Linked DNA regions of Notamacropus eugenii. The protein of the gene in region 2 purifies or fractionates together with the protein of the main gene of each other region. This does not show direct contact. Links are inferred from orthologs where the notes say so. Each region holds a gene or a part of one and is shown on either strand. Other genes may lie near its edges.

Region 1 (7,472 bases), on a different chromosome or scaffold from region 2:
TGCTTACCTTTGAGATGGAAAGTTTTCAATAATTCCCATCTGATTCCCACTGCAAGGCTTCCCAATCAAGTTAAATATTAAGCCAACTGAGTGACCCTGTGAATCAATAACTACCATCATTGTTTCCTTTCCCCACTACACATCTTATCCAGAGCACCCATTCATGTAGAAAAATAAAATTTATAATTTTTTTTGTTCCTTCTATATCCCATCAAGGCTCAGGTAACAGCAAGTTCTACTGTCTTAATGGGTACATACACATGTAACCTTTTCTTTCCTGCTTCAACAACCTGTGCCTGGGCAAAGGCTAATGATTTCATGTCAGCAATCTTCCCCTGAAAATGTCATTTTTGGAAAGTACCTCCCCCAGGGAAGGAGCCCTCAAGAAAATAACGATTATAAAGAAAGGACACAAAAATCATTTGTGAGGTACAGTAACAATAACTAAAAAAAAAGGTGTCAGGACTCCTTTCCACCTTGCGAGGAGTGGGTGGAGACCCTTCTCTTCAAACCTACCACATAAGGGGTAAGGGAGGAATAAGCTCTTGCCCAGTTTAATCTCAATCTTTTGTGATGAACGGATCAGACAACTTTCCTGTTGGAAAGATAAATCCAGCCTATGTATTTATTTTTGCTCAGTAAGGTTGGTATTCAGAATTTCAAATGGCAAAAAGGTAAAAAAAAAAAAAAAAAAGGAAATGCGGATTAACCATATTTTCTAGCTATAGAAATGGCAACTCTAAAGGCAATTTCTAAAAAACTCATTTGGCAAATGTTTATTTTTATTTCTTAGTTAGCCACAGATAAGTTCATTCTATGGCACTGAAGTCAAGAGAAAATAGGTTTGATTTTACCCCAGATAGTGATTTGCATAATATAATCAAACTTGCCCCTCCCCAATTCTTCACCATATATAATCAATAATGTATACATGTGGAATCTTTTGATGATCAGAGACTTAATTTCAACATCAATTTAATAGGAGTCAGGTCCAGGGAACCTTGAATGTAGCACCTTGGCAATCAGATTCAGTCATTCAACCCTAATTTCTATGGACATCATAAGGTTCTGTATTTCATTTATTTCTGTGTGCAATTCTGGCTGTGTGTTAGCTCAAAGGAGGTAGACTGGAAGGATGTATCAATGTGCCTGGGTCACAAAATACTCTGATTTTGTCCAATGATCCCAAGTCAAAATTTCCAACCAATAAATCAACAAGTAATTACGCCTCTACTATGTGCCAGGCACTGGGCCAGGTGCTGAAGATACAAGTACAAAGAAAAAGGCATGCATTAAGCCAGAATCTTTTACCAAGTAAGACTTCCCAGACCATTTCTTCCGCTTGGACAGAGAGATACAGGGGGAAAATAACACCAGTCAACATGAAGTAAAAGAATCAGGGTCACAGCCAGACACAGAGCCCAAGACACTAACTCAGAAAATATAATTCCACATACTGAAGAACTAGATAAAGCATAGAAATTCTGAGAAAATCTGAAGTTTTGAAAAGGAAAACCTAACTCCCAAAGGGATCCAAAAAAAGAATTTTCTCTATAAATCAGTTTTCATGTTGCTGTGGGCAGGAGAGTTTCCCACAAATAACACCAGTTTTTAAGCCTCACTCCACCCTTGTCCCAAATTCTGTCTCTCTCCACAGCAAAAGAAAAAAAAAGTATTTTCCTAGGAAGAAAGTCACACTCAGAACGTAGACAGAAGAATGCCTCACATGGTGCAGCATTCTGACTGAGTGTAGCAGCAGTATGGGTCAACTGCCACTGTTTCTTGTTCATAAAAAAGCTGGTCACGTCTGGCACTTACCTGATTGTCTCAGGGACAATGTGAACACAGATTTTTCTAACCCTTTTTTTTTTTTTTTTGGTGTTGTACACAGATAAGAGCTCCATGTTCATCCTTGATTCACGTGGGTTGTCAAACACTCATTAGCAATGAACTTCCCACTACCAAAGGAATGACTTCGAGACCATTTAATATTATGACCTGGCATTTAGAAAAATAGAAATAAAAAACAAGAGCCCAAGGAAGCCAGGAAAAATCGAGCAGAAAGTCAGCTGGAAACCAGCAAAGTGTGAGAACGGAAAATAAAATTGTAGTAAATGATTACTAAAGATTACATTTCAACATGAGTCAATTACCATTGCTACCCTATTCTGAAAATCATCTGGGTACCATAAGATGCCATCATGACAAACATGTTCTAGCACAAAGGGATGCTACAATATACTATTTTAATAAAAAATACGTAATCCATGACTTTTTTTGCTTTTAAAAACCTCACAAAGCAGGCAAATGGTCTGCACTTCTGTGAAAAAGATTTGACTGTTGTCTTAGGGTCACAAAAACTCACCCAGGTTTATAGTACCTTTCATCTCTACCTAGCATGAAAACAGCATCTTAAATTATTCAATTGCATTCAAAGTAAAGTCAGAACATTGCTTAAAAGTTTTAACATAATGAATAGCAACTGTCTCAGGTGACTATGACTTTTGTATCGCCATAGGTCCTTGTCTCACCACATCGACCCCTAAATAGACCACAAAACTTGTAATTCCTGCTTTTACAATGAAGCAAATCTGAGATGTACAAACATTCACCTGACTCATCCAATATCTATACGGAGGTGAGGTGCACCTGGGAAAGGCAAAGAACGGAGAGCACCGTATGTTGGATGGAAGGATATTAAGCAAGGTTTTTACTCCCATTTAAGAACCAGGCAAGAGGAAGCTCATCCTCCGTTCAGCCTCGACAGCTTTTTGATAGGGTCTTTGTTGACCAAAGTTATTCCCCTGATAGGCTCCATCATCCATCCTTTGGATTATTCATGCAAGCCTCCTTTTGCTTAATGTTTCTGAAGCAAATCATAGACATCCTTCTCTGTGGCAGAAAAGGGAAATACAAGGAAGAGCTGATGAAGCAAGGAAAGGGAGAGGGGTCCTTGTTCTGGGTTTAAAACTTGTTTTCATAATAAAGGAGTTACATAATTCTAAATCTAAAGCAAAACGCCTGTACTCCGATACAGATGAAATTCACAGGATTCGAAATTAGTCAATTTCAGGCACCGGGGCGGGGGAAGGGGAGGGTTCCTCCGAGAGAAAAAAAGGATTCGAATGTCACAAAATTCCTCAGATAAACGAATCATGCTCTAAAGGCGTTTCAAGTGAATCACCTTTCTTCCTCACCTCCTTTTTCAAATGCAACATTTATGTTTCATTGAAAAGAGTTTGCAACCTACGTAGGAAAAAAAAAGAAAACCACAAACCCTGATACTTTAAAATCTGCTACAAATAGTAACCGGAGGAATTTTCCTGGTAGGCAACAAAGTCATCTTGGATTGAGAATACTCGTCAAAGCAGCGCAGCGGGCTTACCTGGCCTTCAAACACTGCCAAGCCCTCCTCAAGAGATGCTGCTAGACGGTCTCCAGCGAAGACAAGTCCCAGACGGACAGCTCCGGCTCCAGCTGGGGCTCCCGCTCGTGCTCCGGCTCTGGCCAGCGCTGCTACTGTTTCACAGCAATGCTACTGTTTCAGCACTGCCTTCAGCTCTTACTGCTGCGGAAACTCCGCCCCTCCGGGTGGCAAACGAAGCTGCCGCCGTCGCTCCTCCCTCCCCCTCCTCCTCCTCCTCCTCCTCCTCCTGCTGCTCTCGTGGTTACTCCAGCTGCGGATGCTCTTCCACCCTCCGGCTTCCCTTACCTTTCCTGGGCTGGAGGCTTTAGCTTCTGCTCCCCCCTCGCTATCTTACCGCTCCACCCCACCCCCAACTTTCCCTGTGTCTTCCCACCTCCGACTTCTATTGTTTCACCGTCCGCCCCGCCGGTTGCTCCCACACCTGCTGCACCTGCATGTGCCTCTGGATCGGGGAGGGAAGGAGGAGATGCTCCTATCTCCACTGGACCCTCCACCTCCCCCAGCTCAGCCGCCCCTGCCCCTCCCGGGAAGGGTACAGGAGTTGGGCGATGACAACTGCCCGCGGCCCCGTCTGGTTGAGCCCGAGAAGCTGCTGCCACTGCTCCTGTTAGAGCGAGTCGCTCAGAGCTCCCGTGCCCTCCACCCCACGCTAACCCCGGGGGTCCCTCCTAGCACGCGCCTCCCTCAGAGCCCAGAGCCACCCCAGGGGCTACCCTAGGCGTGCACCAGCCTCCTCCTCTACCTCCGCCTCCTCACCCCCGCCCGAGCCGAAGCCCGAGCCGACCACCCTCCCTGATTGGGCCAGGTGAGCCAAGACTCCTCCCCTTCTCTCGGATCCCCAGCCCACCCTCCCTTCCTCTCAGCCCCGCCCAGGGGAGCGAGAGGGCCTAGACGATTGGTTCGCGACGTCCCCACCCATCTCCTGGAGCCGCTCGCAGGGACCGCTGGGTGATGTAGTCCGATCCGGGTTCACGGCTGTGGGCAGGGCCGAAGGCTGAGACTACGAGCCCCCATCGGCCCGTGCGCGGCTCCGGCTGGGCAGGATTCCGGACAACGCCTGGTTCCTCTCGGCTCCTTCCGGCGTTGCCGGAGTGAATTGATCCGGGAGTTGAAGAGGCTCCGGAGGTGGGAAGTGGAGTCTGCTTCGGAGCTGCTGGCGCCGCCACCTCCAAGGGTAGGGCTGCCCTGCCGGCCTCGACCTCGCTGCGCCCCGGTGGGCGAGGGTAGGTGCGCCGGGGCCCGGGAGCCCGCGGGGCCCTGCGGGCGTCGGGCGGTGACTAGACGCGAGCGGCCTCCAGCGGGCTCATCGAGGCCGCCCGAGCGCGGGCCTCCCTCCCGGCCTCCGGCCTCCCTCCCCGGGGCCGCCGTCCAGGAAGTGGCGGCAATGGCTGGGGGCAGGCCTCGGCCGCCGAGGCCGGGAGGGGGCGGATGTGCCTCGGGTGGGGTCCGCTCCAGGTGTGGGAGGAGGAGCCAGGGACGGCGGTGGGGGAGGCTGGAGCCCGGAGCGGGCCCTGCGGGGTAGGGCGAGGAGGGAAGGGCCGGGGCTCGCGGCCCAAGGTCGGGGGTCACCGGCGTCCTCCCTGGACGGAGGCCTGCCGGACAAGGCGGGAGCCTCGGGGCCCCAGCTGCCCAGGCGTCCAGTCGGATCGCACACAGTAGGCGCTTCATAAATGCTTGTTCCCTTCCCACAGCCATTCCTTATTCTCCCTGTCTGTTGGAGTAGCGTCTGACTTCCCTGACTGGAGTGGGGGGGGCAGATCTATCACCTGGAACATCTGTGCCCCCCCTCATTGAAAATTAAACTCGTATTTGCCCTGCTGGGCCGCTTGGGGGGATCCTTGGCCCCCCCTGGACTCCGTGCCCCCGCCCCCGCCCCATCTCTGTGTTGAATAGGGAGTGTCTGAGTTGGAGAAGCCCCCCTTGGACGGCGATCGCTGCCCAGGTGCAGAACTTCTCTGTACCAAGTTTGTGCCCCACCCAGCCGGGCTCCAGGCTCCCTTGCAGTCGCTGTTGGGCTTCTCCACCCCTATGTCTCATCCTCACCTGCTCTTTTGGCCTCCTGAGGGCTGTAGAACTACAGGCATCCCGATGAGTCTGTGGCCAGCATCCATCGGCTCAAGTATTTTAACTTTAAAGGTGCATCTGAGTGCCTGTCATCTGAAAAAAAGTTGTGCAAGATTCATGGAAAGGGAAGAGGATCTGACTCACTTCTGGTTTTTTATCCTTGTATTGGAGGAGTCAGGTGATGGAAAGAGCACTGGATTGGAGCAGGAAGACCTGGTTTAGAATCTTAGCTGTGTGGCCTCCAGCAAGGCCATTAAGTGTCCTTGGCTTCACTTTCCTAATTTGGGAATTGAGTTACTTGCGCTAGATTGCCTCTGAGATCCTGTCCCAATCAGAAATCCTGCGATCTTGGGAATGGCTTTGGTAACTGATAAGAAGTGACAACTTATTCTTGTCTAATATAGGAAAGTCATTTCAGGACATAGGAGAACTTTAACGTGCTGCTTTTTCCTTCCACCAGGTCTCCCTTTGTTTAAAAAAAAATCTTTTTACAGAAGTACAGTACTTTGAAGTTGGTACTTCTAGAACAGTTTGCTCATACACTGATATTTCAGAGACTTAGAAAACAAGTTTAGTATGTCAGTATAGGGAGGTTACATAACTGATAATGTATGGGTTACCTCTCAGTGATTTACATTGACTTTTTGCCACCTTCAAGAATAATTTCAAAATTCAGCTCTCAGAGAAAATATTGCTGTTTAACTACATTGGTAGATAACATATAATATGTCCTGCAAGTCACATGATCTACCTCCCCTATTTTTTTTTTTAAGGATTTACATTCCTGAGAAGATTTCACAGTAAGGAACGAAGGAGATTGGGGTAAAATTTGTAGTTTCTATTAGGCTGAGAATAATGAAAAGGGACCTAGCACCCTCTGCCATGATAATTGCATGCTATGACTCTATGTAGTTATCTACACTAATATAGGTCTGGTATTAGGTATTATGATAGAAACTTTTAACAGAAATTCATAAAATGTTAAGTGTTCCAAGTTAAGATAAATTGACCTCAAAAATCATATCTAGTTATAGTCAGCCATCTCCACATAATTTGTTCTCAAGATATTTACTCAATTTTTTATAACAAAGAAAGCCCTGGCAGACTCTGTGTGTGTGTGTGTGTGTGTGTCTGTGTGTCTGTCTGTCTGTCTGTTTTACATGCTGGTCACTGTCTAATAGGTTTCCCTAGGTTCCTTTTATGACTTGAAGTTTGGAATAATGAGGGAATTTACCAAGATCCAAAAAGGATATTATGATAAAAGTCAACTTCAAGATAGAATAGAGATCCAAAATCAAAAGAATGAAATATAAAAGAGAATTACATATCAGTTATAATACACGTAAAAGGGAGAAAAGTCATCAAATTATTTAAGAACAATCAGCATTTGTTATGTCGGAGGAATCCTTCAAGATCCATCTGATGGCACCTTTTCCATGAAGTCTTCCTTGATCACTTAGCTAGATGTGGTTTCCATTTTTCATACGACCATCACCCTGACTTTCCCTCAGCATTTGTTTATTATAATCATTACTATAATTATTAATAGCCAATGGACATTTATTAATCACCTACTATGTACTGGGTTCTGTACTAAGCACTAGGGATTCAGATAAGAAAAAGAAGACCAGTCCCTGACCTCAAGGAGCTTACTGTCTACTAGAGAAAGAGTACACTGAAGAAGCTGAAAGGAGGAGGGGAGAGCCAGCGCCAGACTGTCTGGCCAGTGCTAACTCAGAACCAAGCAGAGCAGCTGACGGAAGATGAAGAGAAGGTTGGGAATTCTGAGCTCGCTAGAAATGGAGGCATTTAGAGGAGTTTTTAGCTTAGCCTTCCAACAGAAGAGAGGCAACTGAAGGTGCTGAGGCAGTGTTGACTCCCAAAGCTGAAACACTCTCCATTATTAGATTTCTGGAGATGGGCAGCTAGATGGCTCAGTGGATAGTACTGGGCCTGGAGTCAGGAAGACTGTGTAATAACT
Region 2 (7,701 bases):
AGGGATTTCCCACCAGTCACTGCTAATTATCTCCAATTTATCCTGTCTAGATCTTATCCATACCAAGTTGTCTCCAGCTTGTTTTTGCCATTAGACTGGGAGCTCCCTGAGAGCAGACACTGTCTTTGGCCTCTCTCTGAGTCATCAATGCTCAGCAAATCACAGGTGCATAGCAAATTCTTTCTGACTGCCCGACTGCTAAAACAAAACTCTGCAAAGCTTAAAAGCCTAATAAACGTGAACTAGAGACCATGGAAACTATGAAGTACAACTGTCTCATTTCATAAATGACCAAACTGAGGTCCAGGTTAGGTAAGTTGAGGGCCTGTCACAAGATCACACAGGTAAAGTAAAAGTAGAAGTTGAATGGTACAGTGCATAGAGAACTAGATCCAGAGTCAGAAAGCCCTGAGTTCAAATACAGTCTCACACCTTCTAGCCGTGTCAACCTGGGTAAGAAATTGCCTCAGTTTCCTCACCTGTAAAATGGAGGTAACAATAGGGCCTACCTCCATGGTTGTGAAAATAACATGACAGAACTATGTATTTATTATTTAAAAGTTTATGGAGCTGGAAGGGACCTTGGAGGCCAGCTAGTCCAATGTCTTAATTTACAGAGCAGGAAAGATGGGCCCAGTGTGTCAGGAGGCAGACTATCAAGTCAGGTCCCTCTGTTCTATTTCATTTGGAACAAAAATCTCCTCTAACAGAAGATGTTCTAGGTCCCAGAGATTTCCTTCCAACTCTTTCTCTCTGCAAAGTCCAGTATTAACCAAAGAAGCTGGACAGTTCCTTAGAGTTTGTTTCAATGAGATGACGCAAAGTCCTCTGAACTTTAGGAACAAGTACCTAATTAAATTTGCTATTTCCCCTTTAAGGGGTTCAGTGTAAAGTAAATGAAATTTAGAACCTGTCCTAAACTGGTGGCTGCTGGAGGGAGGGGGGTAAGGAGTCAGGGAAAAGGGAGAAATAGAGTAACATAAGATTTCTCACAATGGACATTTCTCCCAAGAACATCAGCACTAACTAACATGGTCATTTAGCTGGTCTCTCTATCCGAGGTAACTCACAATTCCAAAGGACTACTAGCTAAAATAGCCTGTACTGCAATGTGGTTCAATCTGATTGGTCATGGATTGATTAATTCAGTCAGTGACTACGCTATTAACAAACCATCTTCTTTTAGGTAGTGAGGAAAGAGAAGATGTTAGGAATGATCCAGTCGTTTCATTTAAAAAGGTAACTGTGGTTGCAGAGCTTTCAAGAACACGCTTTGTACAAATTTTTAACATGTCATCTCAATTCCCCTGCCAAAAACCGCCCACTTCTGTTAAGACTCTTAGTCATATCCAACTAAGCCACTGGGATATTATCTCTGCACAGTCCTAGAAAGGATTCCTTCATGTTACCAATCACTATTTTTCCCCCAAAATTTAAAGTGGTGTTTAAAATGTCTACCCGAGGTGTCTCAGAGTGTAGGAAGTCCATCCACTCATCTGTACGAGGGCAAATCAAACACCTAATGAGAAGTGAAGGGGAAAGAGCTGACTGGCGATGGGAGGTTCTCTACCTGTCCTACCACTGGGTTCCGGGAAGCCTGGTTGGCACACAAGCTGAACACTTGCAGAGAGGACATAAGAGAAGTATCTTCCACAGGTAAGGAAGGCAGTGTACTGGCACCGGACAAGAACATTAAAACGTCTTTCTCTGCTCTCACCCAAGTCCCGGGCACAGATGTCATTTGCTTTGAAAAGCCCACTGCCTCTGCATCACCATAATTTCAGAATCAAGGAATTCCAGAGAATTCCAAAGAACTTTCTTCCAAGTGACTGCAAAGCGTCCTAATGGCTGGTCCTAGATTCTTACATCCTCTTTGGAAAGCTTGAACCCTCTACAGTCAAGTCGGGGAGACTCGGGGTCAACTTTAAGAACCAGGCGGGACGCAGCCAGGAGGCAATCTCGGCCTCGGGTGACCTGTCATTCCTGGGCAGGCTGTGCCCGGGCCAGGGGGCCAGCCTGGGTCAGGAGAAGGTGGGGCCCTGCCCGAGGGCTGTCCAGCCACTCTGCCCCTGCCCAAAGGCTCTCCAGCCCGGCTGCCCCTGCCCGTGCCCCTGCCCAAAGGCTCTCCAGCCCCGCTGCCCCTGCCCGTGCCCCTGCCCAAAGGCTCTCCAGCCCGGCTGCCCCTGCCCGTGCCCCTGCCCAAAGGCTCTCCAGCCCCGCTGCCCCTGCCCGTGCCCCTGCCCAAAGGCTCTCCAGCCCCGCTGCCCCTGCCCGTGCCCCTGCCCAAGGGCTGTCCAGCCCCGCTGCCCAAGGCTGCCCCTGCCCAAGGGCTGTCCAGCCCCGCTGCCCCCTGCCCGCTGACCACTTCCCGCTGCCCACGCCCACGGCCGCCAGCACCCCGCGGCACGGCGCGGCCCCTCACCTTGCCCGTCTTGTGGTCGAACCAGACCAGTGCGTGGTTCCGGGACAGCACCTTGCAGTCGAAGGTGGCGTTGTTCTGGGCCGGCCGGCACCGGGCCACCGAGCGCCCGATCTTGATGGGCTCGTCCAGGTAGACATGGCGCTCCTGGAACGGGTGCGAGTTGGGGCGGCAAGTGAAGATGGCCAGGGCCGAAGGCATTGAGGACAGCTCGGGGAGCCCGCTCCAGCCAGGCCCGGGTCCGAAGAGGAGCTCGTCCTGAGCCACGCTGCCGAGCAGGCCGCGCCACGTGTGTCCTCCCACCCCAGCAGGCGGATCAGAGCGCAGACAGCATCGGCCCCGCACGCGCGTGGGGGTCGCCGCGGGTCACCACCGTGGGAGCGGTCCGGGCATGGCCGGGGGGCGCGTGGGGGGCGCCCCTCACTCCATCCCCCTGGGGCTCAGCACCCAGGGGCTCCAACCACATTGGAGGGGGCTTCCTGCATCCACCCGCGGCCGCTCCGGGAGTCACTCGGGGGGCGCCCGAGGGCACGCGAGCGGGGACCCGGTCTCGCGTGGGCACTGACGGCCCTGCCGCGCGGAGCGGGGTCCCCCCTTCCCGTGGGCCGGCCGAATCGTCCGTGGGCCGCCTCGGTTCCTCGCCCCAGCAGGGATCGCGCTAGCGGGGGCCGCGCATCGCGCGCCGGGGGCGGCCCCGGGCTGGGCTCCCGCGTGTCCGCGGCGGCGCGTGGGGGGTCGGTCGCCGCTCCTCTGGGCTCTCTCGCCGCCTCGAGCGCTGGCCTGCGGGGCCCTCTCCGGCCGCCCGCCCCGGCTCACGCGGCGCCGCCGCCAAACTTTCCGACCTGCGGGCGACAAGAACCGTGACCGGCCGCCGTCAGGCGCCGCCCGCCCTCCCGGCCCGTCAGGCGCCCCCCGCCGCCCCGCCGGCCCTCCCCGCCCCACCCGCGGCCCCGACCCCGGCCCCGGCCCCGGCCCCGGCCGCCATAGTGACTCTGACGGAGACCTACCAGCGGGACGGACGGACGGCCGGCCGCGGGAGCGCGCACCCTGCACTAGCCCGCCCGCCCGGCCCCTCTCCCGCGCCGTACTCCCAGGCCCACGTGACCGACGCCGCGGGGGCCCTATTGGGTGTGGGCAAAAAGAGGCCGGGGCGGGGCGCGGGGCGGGCTGCTCCGGGAGCCGTCCTGGCGGGGGTGGGGCTCTCCGAGAGGCGCGGGCCGCCATGTTGCTTAAGGGCAGCGAAGGCTGGGGAGTGGGGAGTGGCCTACGGGCCGGGGCCTAGCGTGGCGGCGGGCGCCTCGGGCCTCGTCCTCATGAAGAGACGTTGTCTGACAGTGGGGAGGTGAACCTGCGCTCGGGGGACTCGCCGCGATGCTTCTCTGGGACGAGAAGCCTCCCCCCCAGGGGCAAAGCGCATTGGCAGACATCTTAGCTGTGGGCAAGCACCTCTCGCGATGCTTGAGGAAGTCGTGCAAAGCGAAGTCGAAATCCGAGGCGGGGGAGGCGCCAATACCAGTCCCAAAGGACAGATGCTTACTAGCCCCGAAGCTCGGCCCTAGTGACTGAGCATGCGCATTTCGGCCTTATCGTCTCGTTACTCCCCTGCCCTTGACCCCTCCCCCTCCCTCCTTCCCAGCTCTGACGTAAGCCCCTGTGACTGGGCGCGCTGTGGCTTAACACCTTCCCCTCCTCCTCCTGCCGTCCCTCGCCTCCATACCACCTAAGACCGTGAGTTCAAATCCAGCTGCTGCCCTTTAGTAATTTTATGCCCTTCCTCCAATTTATCATATACATTTATGTATAACGAATATAAATATATATGGATAAATATATGGTAAAATGGAACGAGGTCATAAAATGTATACGTGTATATATATTAGATCTATACATTAGATATAAGATATAATAGAAATATACTATTTATATGTCACAATAGATATATAATATGATATATATCTATCTGCACACATATATACAAATTCTATCCATCTACACATATGTAGGAGTACACATGTAGGAATACACATATGTAGGAGTATGGAGTATGTGCCCTCCTACATATGTGTAGATCGGTAAGCTCCCTTAGGGCAACACTTACATTTGCCTCTCTGAGTCTCCCGGACCTAGCACCTGGCCTAGAACACAGTAAGTACTCCATACATGTTATTACTATTGCTCGGGCAGGTCATTTTCCCTCTCTGGGCCTCAGCTACCTCCTCTGAAAGGAGTTAAGTGGACTGGATGAGTTCCAAGGTCCCTTCCAACTGTAAACCAATGGCTATTAGTAGAGAGAGACTTAGAGATTAAGAAAGCCAACCTCCTGTCTGCTCTTCCTTACCCTTGTCCCCATTCCCATTTTACAAACAGGAAAAGAAGGTCCAGAGACTATAGATTTTATAAAATACACTGTAATAAAAACTATAAAAGTTTATTATCATTGAAGTCCCAACAGGTGGACTCCCAGGTGAACTCCATAAGAAGTCTAAAAAATCATAAAGAAAATCACCTCTAAGTGAGAAGGAAAAAGGTTTGGGAGAGAGGCAGGGGCTGGAAAAGGTGAGTTTTCTCCTTCCCTACTATTTTTGTTTCTGTGATCTCAGGATACAAGCTTTGGATCTGGAAGCAGAAGTTGTTGTTCAGTGGTGTCCAACTCTGTAAATCCCCTGTGGGATTTTCTTGGCAAAGATCCTGGAGTACTTCACCATTTCCTTCTCCAGCTCATTTTACAGATGAGAAAGCTGAGGCAAACAGGGTTATGTCGGTTGCCCAGGGTCACACAGCTAGGAAGTGTCTGAGGCTGGACCCAGGAAGATGAGTCTTTCTGACTCCAGGCCAGGTAATCTATTGGCCACTACCACTTAGCTGACCTCATTTTCCTGATGAGGAAACTGAGGCCCCAAAGATGAAAGGACTTACCCAAGGTCATGCAGATGGTAAGAGTTCAAAGAGGGATTTGATGTAATGGAATACTATTGTGCTATAAGAAATGATGAACAGGAAGACTTCAGAGAGGTCTGGAAAGACTTATATGATCTGATGCTGAGTGAAAGGAGCAGAACCAGGAGAACTTTGTACACAGCAACAACCGCAGTGTGTACGGGAAATTTTTCAGGTAGACTTAGTACTTCATTGCAGTGCAAGGACTTAAAAAATTCCCAATGAACTCTTGAAGCAAAATGCCTTCCACATCCAGAGAAAGAACTGTAGAATTGGATCGCAGAAAGAAGCAGATCATTTTCTTTAGTATTATGTTTTGTTTTGTTTTATGGTTTCTCCCATTCATTTGAATTCTTCTATTTAACATGATTAAGGTGAAAATGTATTTAATAGGAATGTATGTGTAGAACCTATATAAGATTAAAGGCAGTGTCAGGGAGGGAGTGAGAAGGGAGGAGAAAAAAATCTAGGACACTGAAAATAAATAAAATAATTTAATTAAAAAAAAAAAAGATGGATTTGAATCCAGGCCCTCTGGGGTATTTCCAATGTAGGCCCCCACAACCTTCTTTTTTGTACTTGTTAACACTCTATTATCTTCCTTCTGGCTAGAAAGGACTTTCCCTTCTAGTAAGACACATCTTCTCATATGGTTGGGTCTTCAAATGCCCAGAAACTGCTGGAAGATGTAGTTCTCAACAGGAGAAGGAAACCAGAGCTACTAGTTACAACCACAGTTGCATTGCCAACACCACATAATTATACATTTAAATACCTTATACTAAGGGGCAGCTGGGTGGTACAGTGGATACAACACCAGAGTCAGGAAGACCTGAGTTCAAATATGGCCTCAGATACTTACTGTGTGACCTTGGGCAAGTCACAACTCTGTGGGTCTCAGTTTCCTCATCTGTAAAGTGAGCTGAAGAAGGAAATGGCTAACATCATTCCAAAATCTTTGACCAAGAAAACCCAAATGGTATCACAAAGAATCAGACCTGACTGAAACAACTTTGTTTGGTTTGAGGTTTTTTGTTTTTGGGGGCTTTTTTTGTTTGTTTTTTTTAATAAAGAGAATAATTGCAAAATTGTTTGGAAGTTGCTTTCTATTCAACAAATCCCTTAAAGCCTCACTTCAATCCTGACTCCCCAAAAGGCTGGACCTGCTGACACAATCCAAGGAGGCCATTTAAGGGATTCCACATTTATATGTATGCACCAAAAAAATGACTTAGAAAAGTCCATAATCTTTTGAAGGTCTTTCACCACACCTTAATCAAACAAACCTCAATAAGCATGACAGGCAGAGAATCTCAGACCTACTGTTTTAGGCAAAGTGATGAAGTAGAAGGAGTTTTGGCCTAGGATTCAGAAGGCCTGGCTGCCATTGTGAGTTCCTCATTACACTAAGAGCTCCTGGAAAACAAGGACTCTTTTTGCCTTTCTCTGTATCCAAAGTACCTAGCACAGTGCCTAGCACATAGTAGGTGCTTAATGAATGCTTGTTGACTTGGCACTTAGCAGTGTCTGCAATCCTGCCCAAGTAAATCCACATCTCTGAGAATCAGTTTCCTTCTCTGTAAAATGGAGATGAGACAATGTATATCTCACAAGGGTTCTGGGTAGAACACCGTGTACATTGTAAGGCACTACATACATTACATCAAGGTCTCTGGACATTCCTTTGCCTAACTGTAGATAAATGCACAATTGTAATTGTCCAAAAACAACTCCACACAATTTGAGAAACAGTGAGAGTTATAAAGTAGCTTTCTTTTCCGTGGCAGGATGTCAGTTTTACCACTTCTTGAACCCAAATCACGGCACTTTCAGTCTTGGAAGAACAGGCATTTGCAACATTCTTATTAAAAAAAAAAAAAACCACCAGTGTGAAAGACCAGCAAATAATTCTAAGGAATTCCAAGGCACAACAAAGAATAGTTCTCTAAATCTGATTAATGATCAAACGCTGAACTTTCTCTCCCTCCACGTATGCATAGGATATAACAAATTGTGTAATTACCATTTGAGGGCAATCTAGCTGGTACAAAATATCATTAAGCCAAAAATGGAGGATTAGCTCAGGATCAGGTAGAAATCCCAATTGAAAGCATTTGCTACTTTTAAAAAGAATACCTCTATTGTCTTTATTAAGACCCAAGCGATCGTAAGCCTTCTTTCCTCATTAAGAGCTTGTTTCAGTCCAGGGTGGTTTGCAGTATGTGGAAATACCCTGTCATTGACCAGGTGTCCTGGGTGGAGTAGCAAGACATTCCATAGCCTATACTCACCTATTTTTGGCCCTCTGGTTTTTCAGGTAATAAAAAGTGCCCCAGGAAGAAACA

What was found. Proteins that work in one complex are often made in the same cells at the same time.
Region 1: the proteins of SLMAP (region 2) and PDCD10 purify together in Homo sapiens (affinity purification with mass spectrometry; 3 studies listed by BioGRID and IntAct, counting the BioPlex papers as one, with this or other methods). This does not show direct contact. The link is inferred for Notamacropus eugenii from reciprocal best matches to the Homo sapiens genes SLMAP and PDCD10.

The regions. Positions count from the first base shown.
Region 1 is NC_092877.1:356,728,584-356,736,055, forward strand, and holds the start of PDCD10 (programmed cell death protein 10), read left to right. Parts: upstream 1-4,453; 5' UTR 4,454-4,601; exon of another isoform or gene 4,602-4,654; intron 4,655-7,472. UniProt on the Homo sapiens protein: Promotes cell proliferation. Modulates apoptotic pathways. Increases mitogen-activated protein kinase activity and STK26 activity. Important for cell migration, and for normal structure and assembly of the Golgi complex.
Region 2 is NC_092874.1:467,542,396-467,550,096, forward strand, and holds the start of SLMAP (sarcolemmal membrane-associated protein), read right to left. Parts: upstream 3,015-7,701; 5' UTR 2,621-3,014; coding exon 2,423-2,620; intron 1-2,422. UniProt on the Homo sapiens protein: Associates with the striatin-interacting phosphatase and kinase (STRIPAK) core complex, forming the extended (SIKE1:SLMAP)STRIPAK complex.